Linked DNA regions of Mus musculus: all the other regions are reported to be linked to region 1. Evidence: microRNA targets listed by miRTarBase, many of them from high-throughput screens and not tested one by one. Region 1 holds a microRNA gene; each other region holds the end of a gene's coding sequence.
What was found. The annotated mature microRNA mmu-miR-302d-3p reads UAAGUGCUUCCAUGUUUGAGUGU and lies in region 1 at 1,844-1,866, shown strand. An mRNA with a match to its seed (bases 2 to 7 or 8) in the 3' UTR can be bound and repressed. Matches are read on the target gene's strand: a 7mer-m8 pairs with bases 2 to 8, a 7mer-A1 pairs with bases 2 to 7 and ends in A, and an 8mer does both.

Region 2: the mRNA of Diaph2 is a reported target of mmu-miR-302d-3p. Seed matches in the 3' UTR shown: 7mer-A1 at 934-940 and 7mer-m8 at 3,286-3,292.
Region 3: miRTarBase lists Galnt4 as a target of mmu-miR-302d-3p. Seed matches in the 3' UTR shown: 7mer-m8 at 1,938-1,944 and 7mer-m8 at 701-707.

What each region holds. Positions count from the first base shown.
Region 1 is chr3:127,543,822-127,547,821 of GRCm38, forward strand. It overlaps Mir302d (microRNA 302d), which reads left to right and starts at 1,803; the gene lies at 1,803-1,868. Larp7 (La ribonucleoprotein domain family, member 7) reads right to left here. Exons shown (of 13, transcript NM_138593.2): 2 at 3,541-3,725; 3 at 3,269-3,369; 4 at 3,100-3,183; 5 at 2,833-2,997; 6 at 2,655-2,748; 7 at 2,226-2,582; 8 at 2,005-2,149; 9 at 333-457. The coding sequence starts at 3,724. It overlaps Gm51018 (predicted gene, 51018), which reads left to right and starts at 1,268. Exons shown (of 2, transcript NR_146435.1): 1 at 1,268-1,325; 2 at 2,813-3,082. Mir302b (microRNA 302b) reads left to right here and starts at 1,407; the gene lies at 1,407-1,480. It also overlaps Mir302c, Mir302a and Mir367.
Region 2 is chrX:130,460,630-130,464,708 of GRCm38, forward strand. It overlaps Diaph2 (diaphanous related formin 2), which reads left to right. Exons shown (of 27, transcript NM_172493.2): 27 at 242-4,079. The coding sequence ends at 306. Among named protein-coding and RNA genes, the nearest start is that of Gm25170, 450 kb to the right of the region's middle.
Region 3 is chr10:99,109,483-99,113,561 of GRCm38, reverse strand. Galnt4 (polypeptide N-acetylgalactosaminyltransferase 4) reads right to left here. Exons shown (of 1, transcript NM_015737.4): 1 at 315-4,079. The coding sequence ends at 3,411. The region is part of intron 2 of Poc1b (POC1 centriolar protein B); the gene reads right to left. Among named protein-coding and RNA genes, the nearest start is that of Galnt4, 3.4 kb to the right of the region's middle.

The DNA.
Region 1 (4,000 bases):
TATTACAATGAACGAGAGTAGTGCTCTAATATGCTCCTGCTTGCTGAACATCATCCACTAAGCCTGCAGTCTTTATTTCTCTCTCCAGGCACTCACAAGTGAGCTCGCAGGTAAGTAGAGAAGAATAAACAGACTATTAAAACCTAGTGTGTAATACAAAACTTCACATTTTTACTTTTCTTAAAACATTTTGTTTTTGGAAATGGTTCAGCTTAAAACTGAGGAAGCCACTCTATCACTGCAATAAAACTGCCCCTGAAACCATTCATAGACTAAAGCCCACTCTTCCATTACATGAGCGTCACCCTCTCCGTTCCCCACTGCACACTTACTAGGCGCTTTACAGTCTGTTTCCATTTCTGATTCCAATTTGATTTGAGATATTGTTTTTTTTAGAGAAGCCATGCTAGCTTTTTGCAGTGCCAAATACTCTTTCTTCAAATCCATCCATTCAGTCCTGAAAAACAAAAATTGAGCCATTACAGTGATAAGACGACCCAACTAGAAATCTGAAGTTGATCTAAACACAATGTTCATAGGAACTGCAAGTCTTTCTGACTTTTCTTTCTTTTAAGGCATATGTTTACATTATTTGTTAAGCCATTTGTTAAAGCTACCTAGCAAACACACAAAGGAAGTTTCTTTGTCTTAACAGGCAAGGAAAATGCTTGAGTTTCCTGGTTGCTTCTAATATTTAATTGTAAAATCACTTTTGAGTCACTTCTATTAAGTAAAATCACTAAATCAGGCAACCTGGAGAAAAAGTAAGAGACTAAAACTTAAAGATTTCTCAAATTGCTTCCAATTTGAGAGCTAACATTCCTTAGGATTTACTTGAATCAAAAGGAATTTCTAAGAAGAAAAAAACACCCCATGGAAGCAATTTATTTATTTACATACATTTAACATGTAGATGTATCTTCAAACAGCTAGGGCTCCTCCAGAGAAGCACAATGCATCTCCTGGCTCTGTGGGAGCGCTCATTGTTACCCTAATCTGTGCCATCAAACGGGCAGATAGGAGATTTTTTTTAAAGAGGAGGATATCTTGTGGTAATGGTTTTAGCAGTTAACATTGACATCTGTTTACTTCAAAAAAGGAAAAAAAAAAAAAAAATCCAGACCTACCCAGGTCCCCAGGACCTACTTTCCCCAGAGCTGATACATTAAAATAACAAAGGGTCTTGTAATGATTCTCAGAGATAGAAAGCCAAAAGGAACTCAGGAGTTAGGAGTAGTATAAATACAAGTGGTCTAAAGTCGGCGTCTTTCACCCTCCGAGGACAGAACAGGACTCTTTGGGAGGCGGTCACGAAGGTAAAGGAGGTAAAGCTTATGTCTGTAACCGGGTCACTTTACTTTCCTGTGGGTTTGCTCTTCTGTTTTAACTAGTTGCCTTGTGGGTGGGTTCCCTTCAACTTTAACATGGGAATGCTTTCTGTCTCATCGAAGAGTAAGTGCTTCCATGTTTTAGTAGAAGTGAATTCAAGAAACTCTGGAATAAGAAAGCTAGCCTTTTAATTCAGAGTCTGATGGGAGTCCCCTCTGCTTTAACATGGGGTTACCTGCTGTGTTAAACAAAAGCAAGTGCTTCCATGTTTCAGTGGGGGTGTCTTAAACTGTTCAACATTTTCTCTAAGATGCTGTAGGTTAAGGGAGTTATTGACTGGGCTTCCCACCACTTAAACGTGGTTGTACTTGCTTTAGACCTAAGAAAGTAAGTGCTTCCATGTTTTGGTGATGGTATGTTTTCCTTTATATTCATGCCTTTGTAAAGACCACTCAAGTCTGCTTAAGGGGCCTCCTTTACTTTAACATGGAGGCACTTGCTGTGCATTTAAAAATAAGTGCTTCCATGTTTGAGTGTGGTGGCTCCTACTTAATCTTCATTGTGCTGCATATAGATAGACCAAGGCCGTCACTGTTGCTAACATGCAACTCTGTTGAATAGAAATTGGAATTGCACTTTAGCAATGGTGATGGACCTGTGTCAGTGGCCACTTACTTGGACAGCACTCTCAATGGTATAACCTCCTCGCCCATCTTATGTCTCTCCTTGTGTTTCTTCTTATGCTTCCTCTTCACCTTTGAGAGTGAGTCACCTTTTCTGTCTGTCTCCTTCTCCTCCTCAGTAGAGCAGAATTCTAAGTCTAGAAAAAAGATTTCCGTAAGTCCGTTGTTGTGGTTAAACTGGTTAAAACATTTGTAACCCTACTGCCACGGTACCTCTGCTCTCCTTGGAGACCTCGGAAGCTGCTTGGCCGACGCCATCCTTCTGAGCCCTTTTCTTAGCTTTTGGCCTTGGGGGGAGGCAGTCTTCGTCCTCGGCGCTGCACCTCTCCCTCTTCCCTGCCCTGGCTTCAGGTAAGCTGGATGCTTCCACCTTGTCCCGCTTCTTCTTTTTCTTTGCAGGTTGCTTTGGAGCTTCCGGGGTTTCTGCTTCGGAGCCCTCAGAGGCCGTCCTTGGTCTCTTCGTGGCTTTACACACGCCCGAGCTGCTGCTGTCCACGGCCGACTCTTTGGCCTGCACACTCTCTTCCTTCTTTATTCTGCCTTTTTTCTTTTTCTTCTTTTTCTTCTCTTCTGTAACAAGATTTTATTATTTACAGTCATAATAGTTTATTGTTTACTTGGCCACTCTAAGTAAGCACTCACCTGCTACTCGTAAGGAAGGGATGGGCTTGTTTTTCACTGTCTTGGGAAATATACCAGGCTTTCTAGGTGCTTCTTCTGGTGGGTTGTTCAGAAACTGAAAAGATTGATTGCAGAATTTGTTACTCTTGTTAACCCTGTGCTTTTTCTTTACTTTTCAGGGTCCCACAGAAGTACGTACCTCAATGGCTTTTGCTGCTTGCTCTTTTGTTTCAAATTCCACAAAGGCAAATCCCTTAGGATCCCCAGTAGACTTGTAATGTGGAATACTTATGTAAACCACATTGCCACATTTCCCAAATACTCTCTCAATCCAGCTATGAGTAACATTTTTGGGGAGCAACTCCTGTAATAAATCATGGTATGAACATTTTAAAGTTCCTACATTTTTACCAATAAATGAATTATAAATAAATGAACTAGAATTAAAATTTGTGTCATTTCTTACCACATATACCGTGCGTTCCTCCTCGTCCTTTGGTCTCTCACCTAGGGGTTTTTTCCTCCTGATTCTGGTCCCTTCTAAGTCCAACTTTATGAGGGGGGAAAAAAAAAGGAAAGCTAAATAAAGTCAGTAGTTAATTGGATGTGGGTGACTTGAAATGTAAGTTTTTTACCTCTACAACAGATGAGCTTTTCAATGCTCTGGCTATTAGCTTCCCATCAGTTGTCAGCTTCTTCATTTTGTTAAAAGACACCAGGAGAGAAATGTCCACATCTAGTAAATAGGATAGTGGGATGTTAAACACTGGAATATATACATGTGTGCAAACAAGCACGAGTTCAACATGCAGTTGTGTGTCATGAACATATACAGTACTGAGCTCTCAGGAGGCTCTGGCCCCATATAAATGTGAGTTGGAAATTCCAACAAAGACAAAAAACTTACATCCATCTCTAGACTTTTCAATTTGCTCTCGCAGAAACTTGTCCTTGTGAAGGTTTGCATCTCCAAACCAGAAGTCCACCTGCTTAGCAATATCTGCAAGCACCTGTTTAACCCGGGAGCGCTTCTTTTTTTCTTCTTTTCTCTTAGTGCTTTCTTCCATAGTTTTTTGGTTTTCAGTTTCCATTCTGAGAGGGGAAAAAACAAAAATGCCAAACTGTAAAGTGCCTAAATGCCCCTGTCACCTGAACCTTCCTGCTGCAGGAATTCCTGCTGCAGGACGCCATCTCACTGACATCAGTAAGGATGTTTTTAAAGCTGGTCTGTCAGGCAAGTGCAAATTCTGTAGTAAATTCAAGTAGTAAAACCTCTACCTCAAAAGATGGCCTAGTCAGCCACCACTGGAAAGAGAGGCCCTTTGGACTTGTAAACTTTATATGCCCCAGTACAGGGGAACGCCAAG
Region 2 (4,079 bases), not on the chromosome of region 1:
TGTCACTCTGCCTCTGCTTACCAAGAAAAGTCATTTATTGCTGATTGCAGAACTCTTGAACCCAGCCTGGCAGCTGCTGTGTAAACGCCTCAGATCCGGGCTCTTTGCAGCTTATTTCCATATTCATTTGAAGTGATTTTTCAAGACTGTTTGGAAACCTCTCTCAACCTGACACTGTGAAATAGTCAGGATCTAAAGCTCACCTTTTTTTTTTTTCTGTCTTCTTCTCTTTGTCTTACAGATAACAGACGGCCCCCTCTGGAAAGATCTCGCTCTCGCCACAATGGAGCCATGTCATCCAAGTGATTCCCGAGGCCGGGGAGAATGGAGACATTTAAGAAAACAAAACCATCCATTTTGAAAGGAACAAATATACACTTAAGAGTTGGAGTGGAAAGAAATGCATTTCCACAAAGGTCAAGCTGATCTGGGGGAAGGGAAGTGTATTGGTAGTTACTGCAAGTACACTAATCTGAACTCAGATGTCATGATTAGGAAACATTTGTTCCTCTCTAAAGATGCACATAACTTGTCATTGTGTGTAAGGACCTGATTGTGAAGATCAAAGTAAAAAAAAAAAACAAAAACCATGGAAGAATCCTAAGGCTTCTACCAACATTCCAGTCTGTCAAATAATTTAAAACTGAAATTCTAGGTCAGACCTACCCACCCCATACCCCACAAAGAGACAAAGGGCAGGGGAGAGATAGACAGGAAGAATTTCTATTGTCTAGTTTCAGCTCATCTTATGTATATAGTGTAAAGTCTAGGAGAATAGGCGCATTAATGATTGTAAAGGAGCAAATATCACACTCAGAAAGAGAAGCCCAACTCAAGGTATTTAGAACCCATCTCAAGTGAAAGCTAATGGATTCTTCCATGTGGCAGAAATTAACCTTACCATTACTCTAATGTTGCAGTACAGGGTCACGGGCACTTAGCATTGCTAAAATAAACCAAAGTTTAACAGAATCCACTAGATTTCACTCTTATTTAAAATGTATTTAAGAAGTCTCCACAGACTTATAGAAATTTTTTATATAACTATTTTTGAGAAAAGTGTAGACTTTTTCATGTATATGCTAGGGATGAGCCTGAAATTCTCTTGCCTTTATTTAGATTTTAGAGGAAAATATTGATTTCTACTTCTTCCATTACTTCATTCTCCCTTCACCCCCTTAGAGGTAGGGAACAGAACTGCAGAAGAGTGTAGAGGGGGAAAGTGACATTTTAATGCAGGAGGCAGTAGGAAACTTTTGAAAGTTCAATTGGTTGGTCTCTAGTTCTACCCCTTTTCCCACTCCACTCTGGTAGTGAAAAAGCAATTCTCTCTCCCTCCTGCCCTCCCTTTTACCCTCCCTCTCTTCCTTCCTCCCTCCTTCCCTACTTCACTCTCTTCCTCTCCCTCCCTCCATTCCTTCCTTTCCCTCCCTCCCCTGTCCCTCCTTCCCTCCCTACCTTTCCCTATGTCCCTCCCCAGCATGTGTATATGTATGTGTGTGTGTGTGTGTGTGTGTGTGTGTGTGTGTGTGTGTGTGTTTGTGTGTGTGTGTGTGTATCTCTTACTGAAATAACCCATACCCAACTCTCTGTCATCATCATACTTACTTACCTTATATTATTAACGCATTTCAGTGATACTGCCAAAACAACGCTAACAGGTAAAGAAGCTCGGCATTGTTTTAAATATGTGAGAGAGCAGAAGTTATACTTAACTTGTCTATTCTCCTACAATGTGCATTTGTAATAATTGGTGTGACTTCTCTGGAGTGTAATTTCAAGACTAATTCATGCAGATGATTGTGATTGCTGTAAAAGATTGCTTGTATGTATATTTCTTATGTAGATAATTCTATTTCTATTCTGCCAAAGCACATTATAGACATTTAGAGAAAAGAACAAATAACTGGCTTGACAAGCCACCTTCTGAGACAAAGTAAACAAGTGTCCAGTAGCTCATCGACTCTTTCTACAGATATAAAGTAATTTACATGGTTGCCTTTCACTCGTTCTTACTTAGGTATGATACTTCAAAATACTCTGAAGCTACTATAAGTAGAAAAATCAGAACGTAACAATGTCTGAGTTTTTTCCTTTTTTTCTTATGTGAACACACACACACTTTAGAACATACCACTTTCACACACTTTTAAAACAATAACCATGAAGTTTAGGTTCTACTAATTAATGTAAATAACTACTGTATGCATTTTCAATTTTACAAAGTATTTTCTGAAATATTGTGGTATGGCTTATTTGAGGTTTTTTGTTTTTGTTTTTATAGCTTTTCGGGCTGTAAAAAAAAATTAATCTTGAAATGTAAACGTTGACTGAAATTTAGGGCATTTGCCCTGCCATATTTTCTAACTGGTCAAGGTTGAAATACTGAGGTATGTCACCTTTTCCAGATGTGAACTTGCCTTATTTTCTAGTTTGTAAACAAGAATGAATGAAGTACTATTATTGATAAATTATATATTTGTATTTAAATGCATTCCACATGCTTTTCACAAATATTAGAAAACCTTTCAGGGGACAGACACAGAATTAACTCATGTGACTTATAATGGTCCTGTTCTGGTCACTTGCATTTTTTGTTTTCGGTCGAAAGGTATCATCTGAAAACAAAAGTACATAGTGGCATTTTTTTAAAAGAAAACCAAATTAGGCTGAAGTATTTTATGTATTTTTGTTTATATCTGCCACACATGAAAAATGCCCTTTCTACAGCTTTTTCTTCAGCATATTACAAAACAAGTTAACTGTTTAGAATATTTTCCTTTGGCTACTGTAATGATTGACCATCAATCTTGTAGTTTAAGACCACAACAATTTATTGTCCCATGGTCCTGGAGGCCAGAAGTTTGACATCTGGACATCAGACCATTCATGCTACCTCCAGAGGCTACAACAGAGGCCCCTTCTGTGATTTGTCCATTTTTTGATGGCCAACGGTATTGTGTGGCTTATGGCCACATTTTTCTCTACTCCTTTTTATATCATCTTCTCTGTGCACCTGATCTCTCTCAGCCTGTCCTGTAAAGATGTTGATGGTGGCATTTAGAGACCGCCATCTGAAGACAGGATAATCCTCTCACCACACACGCTGAACTTTATGATATCTCTATGACCCTTCTTTCATGCAAGCTAACATCTAGGTTCTTTCCTAGATAGCTTAGCACTGTACTTGAGATAGTTGAATGAATCCAGAAATGTGTGCCTGATCTTTTCACCACTATTCAAAAGCTGGCAGGCCGCATCCTTTTGGTGCACGCCTTTAATCCCAGCACTTGGGAGGCTGAGGCAGGCGGATTTCTGAGTTCGAGGCCAGCCTGGTCTACAAAGAGAGTTCCAGGACAGCCAGGGCTACAGAGAAACCCTGTCTCAAAACAAAACAAAACAAAAACAAACAAACAAACAAACAAAACAACAACAAAATTTATCTTCACACAGAATTTCCTCATTTTATCATCTTTCACTATTAACAAAATTTACCAAATCAAGTGCTAATTCCTTCTTGATATAATGGTTCTTTCTTCACTTCCTCCTATCGGGCTCTTTTAAAAAACTTAGTACAAAAATAATGAGTTTCATTGTGGCATTTTTCATGCCTTGTTGTTGTCATTGATGATGATGATGATGGTGATGGTGATGGTGATGATGATGATGGTCCTTCTCCCCACCTTATGTGCCCTCGCCTCTACCACTACCCACTGCTATGGTCCCCCTAGTATATCCCATTTCACTGGCATGTCTCATATGTTCTAGTATCGTCTCTTCTCCTCCCCATTCTCCTAAGACTTCTTTTCCCCAGCAAAAATGAACGAGCTATACCTACAACAGGGCCTGCCAAGTTCCTCAACTTTGTCCCTTACAAGGTCAAGATTAGCTTTCCATAAAACTGTAGGAGACAATTCAGATAAGTTGTTTGGTTTGGTTTTGCTGCTATATAACAACAATCTTTCTTGCAGTTCCCACTACAGTATTCATTTCCTCTTGTGCCCTCACCAGAAATGCCTTTAACATCCACATTTCCATCAGGGGTTTGGCTCAGGCAATCTATAGTGTCTCTATTAAGT
Region 3 (4,079 bases), not on the chromosome of region 1:
TGCCCAGGGACCCACTTGTTTCCTTGAATAGTGGACAAAATGGGCTCCAGAGATTCTTATCATTTCCAGTTTGTTCGTAATTCATAATAGCACTAACACCACTTCCTTCTGGGCTGATGGTCAGGCAGGAAGCCCGACTTATATCCTGCCTGAACTTTCAGGTAAGCAAAACTATCACAGTTATAGAACTATCACACACACACACACACGCACACACACACACACACACACACACACACACACACACACACGCACGCACACACCCATTAATGTGTACATAGAAACATTAATGCCATAGACTAAAATCATCAGAATTGGTTTGCAAAAATAATTAGGCATACATTTTATTGCATGTCTTCGCCAATATTACAGACACCATTAACAAAAAGAAACAGTCACCGCTCAAAAGACAGAAATCTAGACCTCAGCTTTGTGCCCATTCAGAAATCTTGTTAAAACAGCAATTCCAAAAGACAAGTCAAATCTAAATTTTATTCATTAAAACTGAGACAATAAAATAACTGAGAGTATACAACTTAAAAACAAATCCTTTGCCTGGAATATTTCAATCTGCTAACATCAATGCACATGCAAGAGCCTACTATTTACTGGCTGAATAAACACACTTTCCCTTACAAACAAGGTGTTTACGGTTAGAGAGACCCTTCTGATGACTCTGTTACCATTTTAAAAATAAAACAAGTGCTAAGATGCTCATAGAGCCAATCTATTCACAGGACTGATTAAGTAAACAATAGAATGGGAAACTCCTTGCTCATCAAATATTTTCCTAACATTTAAACATGTAAATTCTACAGCAAAATGGAGAACTTGGGTGGTTGGCCAAAAACTGGAAATAAGTGAAAGCGTCTCTTGCATGTTTCACTATGGTGTGCTTTTGGAATGAAATTGGACCATGTCTGCATATAAAAACACAACTCCAGTTTACTTCATTATGTATAGTATTCTGAGTTATATTCTTCTGAATTACAGACAGAAATAATCTACCAGCCTAAAAAGGACCGAGGGGCCATAAGCACCTATAGAGAGACAGGTAACACAGGAGGGAATACTCTAGTCTTAAAAGCCTCGTCTCTCTTTGGCTAGGGGCACAGAGATACTAAGTAAAAGTATTTTCAATGGTCCCTTCTCAATTGCATCCATTTAATTCTCTCATGCGACAGACACGGGGCTTAGCCAGAACAGCAAAAGGATGGGGCGAGGTGAGAATGCATGTTGGAGAATTTCCTCCTGAATGAGCATTTATGTATATTTCCCTTAAATAAAACCCAGGGCCAACCATTGCTCATGGAATCTCTAGCCAGGTGGGTGGTCCATAAACTGTAAGGATGCTAGGTAACTTACAAAAAAGTAGTAAGAGATTTTCATTCTAAGAATCAGTGAGAAACAAAACAGCCACAAGTACACACAAACCTTCATGTTTTCAATGGTCACCCTAAACAAGCTACTGAAACTCAGAGTCTTCCCCCTCTCCATCCTGACAAGTGAACCCTGAAAACAACTTTCCTATGAAGTCCTGTGGGCTGGTTCTCTATGGAACATGCATTTTCAAATCAAAGTCAAAAACCTGAGACTCACTCCCAAAATTTGGGCTGTGCTGTCTGGATAAAACGTTAGTAGGGAACTAGTCAAAATATGGCAAAACGTGTACTTCTGAAATAATTTAGTTTGGGAAATATTTATACTCTTAGTCAAAAGAATTGCTTTGAAAGTTGAAAACTTTTTTTTAAAAAAGCACAATCAGTCTAACCGTTGTCAAAATAAAATGAGTAGAAAACTAGCTCTCATGATATCCTGGGAGAAACTCACCACTTCAGGGGAGCTCAGCTCATGTAAATATAAAAATTGCCTTTCCATCTTCCAAACTGAAACTGACCAGCTACTCAGCACCACCCACGTTAAAAGGAAAGACACAGAAGTGCTTCTCTCCAAGTTGCATAGAGGTGAGGGCCCCAGAGGGAGGTGCAATCGACCTTTAGGGATCCTCACCGACCAACTCAGCGAGACAGAAGAGGAAACTGAGGCCCAAACAAGAGAAACAACCCCTTCCGCTGAGACATCTGCTCACACAAGGTAAGAGCTGCCCAGGTGCCCGGCTGCCTTGTGCTTTCCAGGAGCTCCAAGGCACCAATCAACAATGACCAAGACAGCCTTTCCCCCACTGCAATAAAGAGGAAGCCTCTCCATTTCCAGGTCAGCGCCCACTCTGAGGGGAGTTGAACACTCTCTGCAGAACTGGGCTGGCCCACTTCAGTTTCACACATTTCGGTAAAGGCATTTGGGGTTGGCTTTGGGGAAGTCTCACTTGTGTTGACTTCAAACCATTAGACATTAAGGACGGGAGGCCCAGCCTTCTGAATGAGCTTCATTCTAGGACATCCATAACTAAGGAGGTGCAATCAGAAAATGCCCCATTACTCACAAACAAGTTCACAGAGAATGCAGCTTACAGAGCGGGGTGATGTGAGGTGTTGAGATATGGGCCAGTTCACTCCAACGGCTCCCGGTTACAGAGAACTGAAGGTGAATGTCCCACTATCTTTCTGAGATACCTGTCTGCCAAGAAAGACCTCCAAACCACCTGTGGTGGCACACGCCTGTAATCCCAGTACTTGAGAGGTGGAAGCAAGACTCAGGAGTTCAAGGTCAGCCTGGGATGCCTAAGATCTATCTCAAAATAAAATAAAATAAAATAAGACCTCCAAACTTGCATTCAAGACCAGGACCCTCTTCCAATGAAACATATATCAACCCCAGGCCTTTTCCTCAAGATCAAATTTCTTCAACTTTTATTTTACCAAAGACAAGTTGGTTTTTAAAAACCTAAAATGTAATGTGCTGGCTGAAAGAATGTAATCAGAAAGTAATAGTTCTAATTACACATTCACATGTTTTGATAAAGAAAAGAAGAGAAAAGAAAAGAAGAAAGAAAAGTACATGCAATGAATTTACAAATCAGAATGAATCATACCCCATTTTGTCTGGACTTTTATGTTCTAAATATTAAGTCTTGCATGTAGTTTGTGGTGCTGTGGGTCAGACTCAGGGTCTTGCACATGCTAGCTAAGCATTCTACTGCTAAGCTACACCCATACTTCAGTGTTTTGTGTATCTCAGTTCACAGCAGCTTTCTTTAAGGAGTTGCAGGAGACCATATTGACAAAGCTTTTAAATAAAACAACCCGAGAGCAAAGAAGGCACTTTGAGATATTGAGCAGCGGTGCTCTGTGTACCCAGCTTCAGAGTGATATCCCCAGATGAACCACGGCTTTCCAGTGTTCTTACAGACAGCTGCCAGGTGACTTCTGGTAAAATACAGTCATCTTGGGGCACGGTGACTTTCCGGAGGCTACTGTCAGCTCCCGAAGAGAAGGCGCTCTGCTGCTAGCCTATTTCTCAAACCTCCAGAGCTGGTTTTTATCAAGGGCATCACACGTTTTCATATGGACACTAGGTCGGCCCTCGGCTGTCCGGTAAGCACTAAGACACAGTCTTGTGTGAGGGTGAAAAATCGTTCCGTCTTCTTTAAAATGCCAAATGATGTTCACTGGAACTGGGAGCCCGTCTTTGGGGCAGTTTTGCATCCCTACATAATCCTTTTGTTGGGGGACCTCTGCACATAATTCAGTCACGGAATTGAATCTGATTTCTTTGTTTGAAGTATATTCAAAGAACTGATTGCCTCCTTGACCGTGGCATCCAAACAACGAAAGATTAGCCCCCGTAGGGTTGTTGTCGGGAGCGTTATAATCTAAGCACTCGGAAGAGATGCCCATGCTGCGGATGGCTCCGTGCCAGCCAGGTCTATCCTCGGGGACGTGTAAGTTAGAGAACACATTTTTCAGATACCAGTCGAAGCTCTTACATTTCAGCCGTTCCCTTAGTAACTTCCTTTCAGAAAGATCGCCATAGGCCTCTTTCCGAGCTGGGGGGTTTCGGTTATAGAAATGCTCTTTGTATTCATCCATCCACACTTCGGCCGCCCGCGCGGTATTCTGTAGGAAGTTGGGGCGAGCATAGGGCGCGCGCTTGGGAAACACGTGGCCCACGTGCGAGCA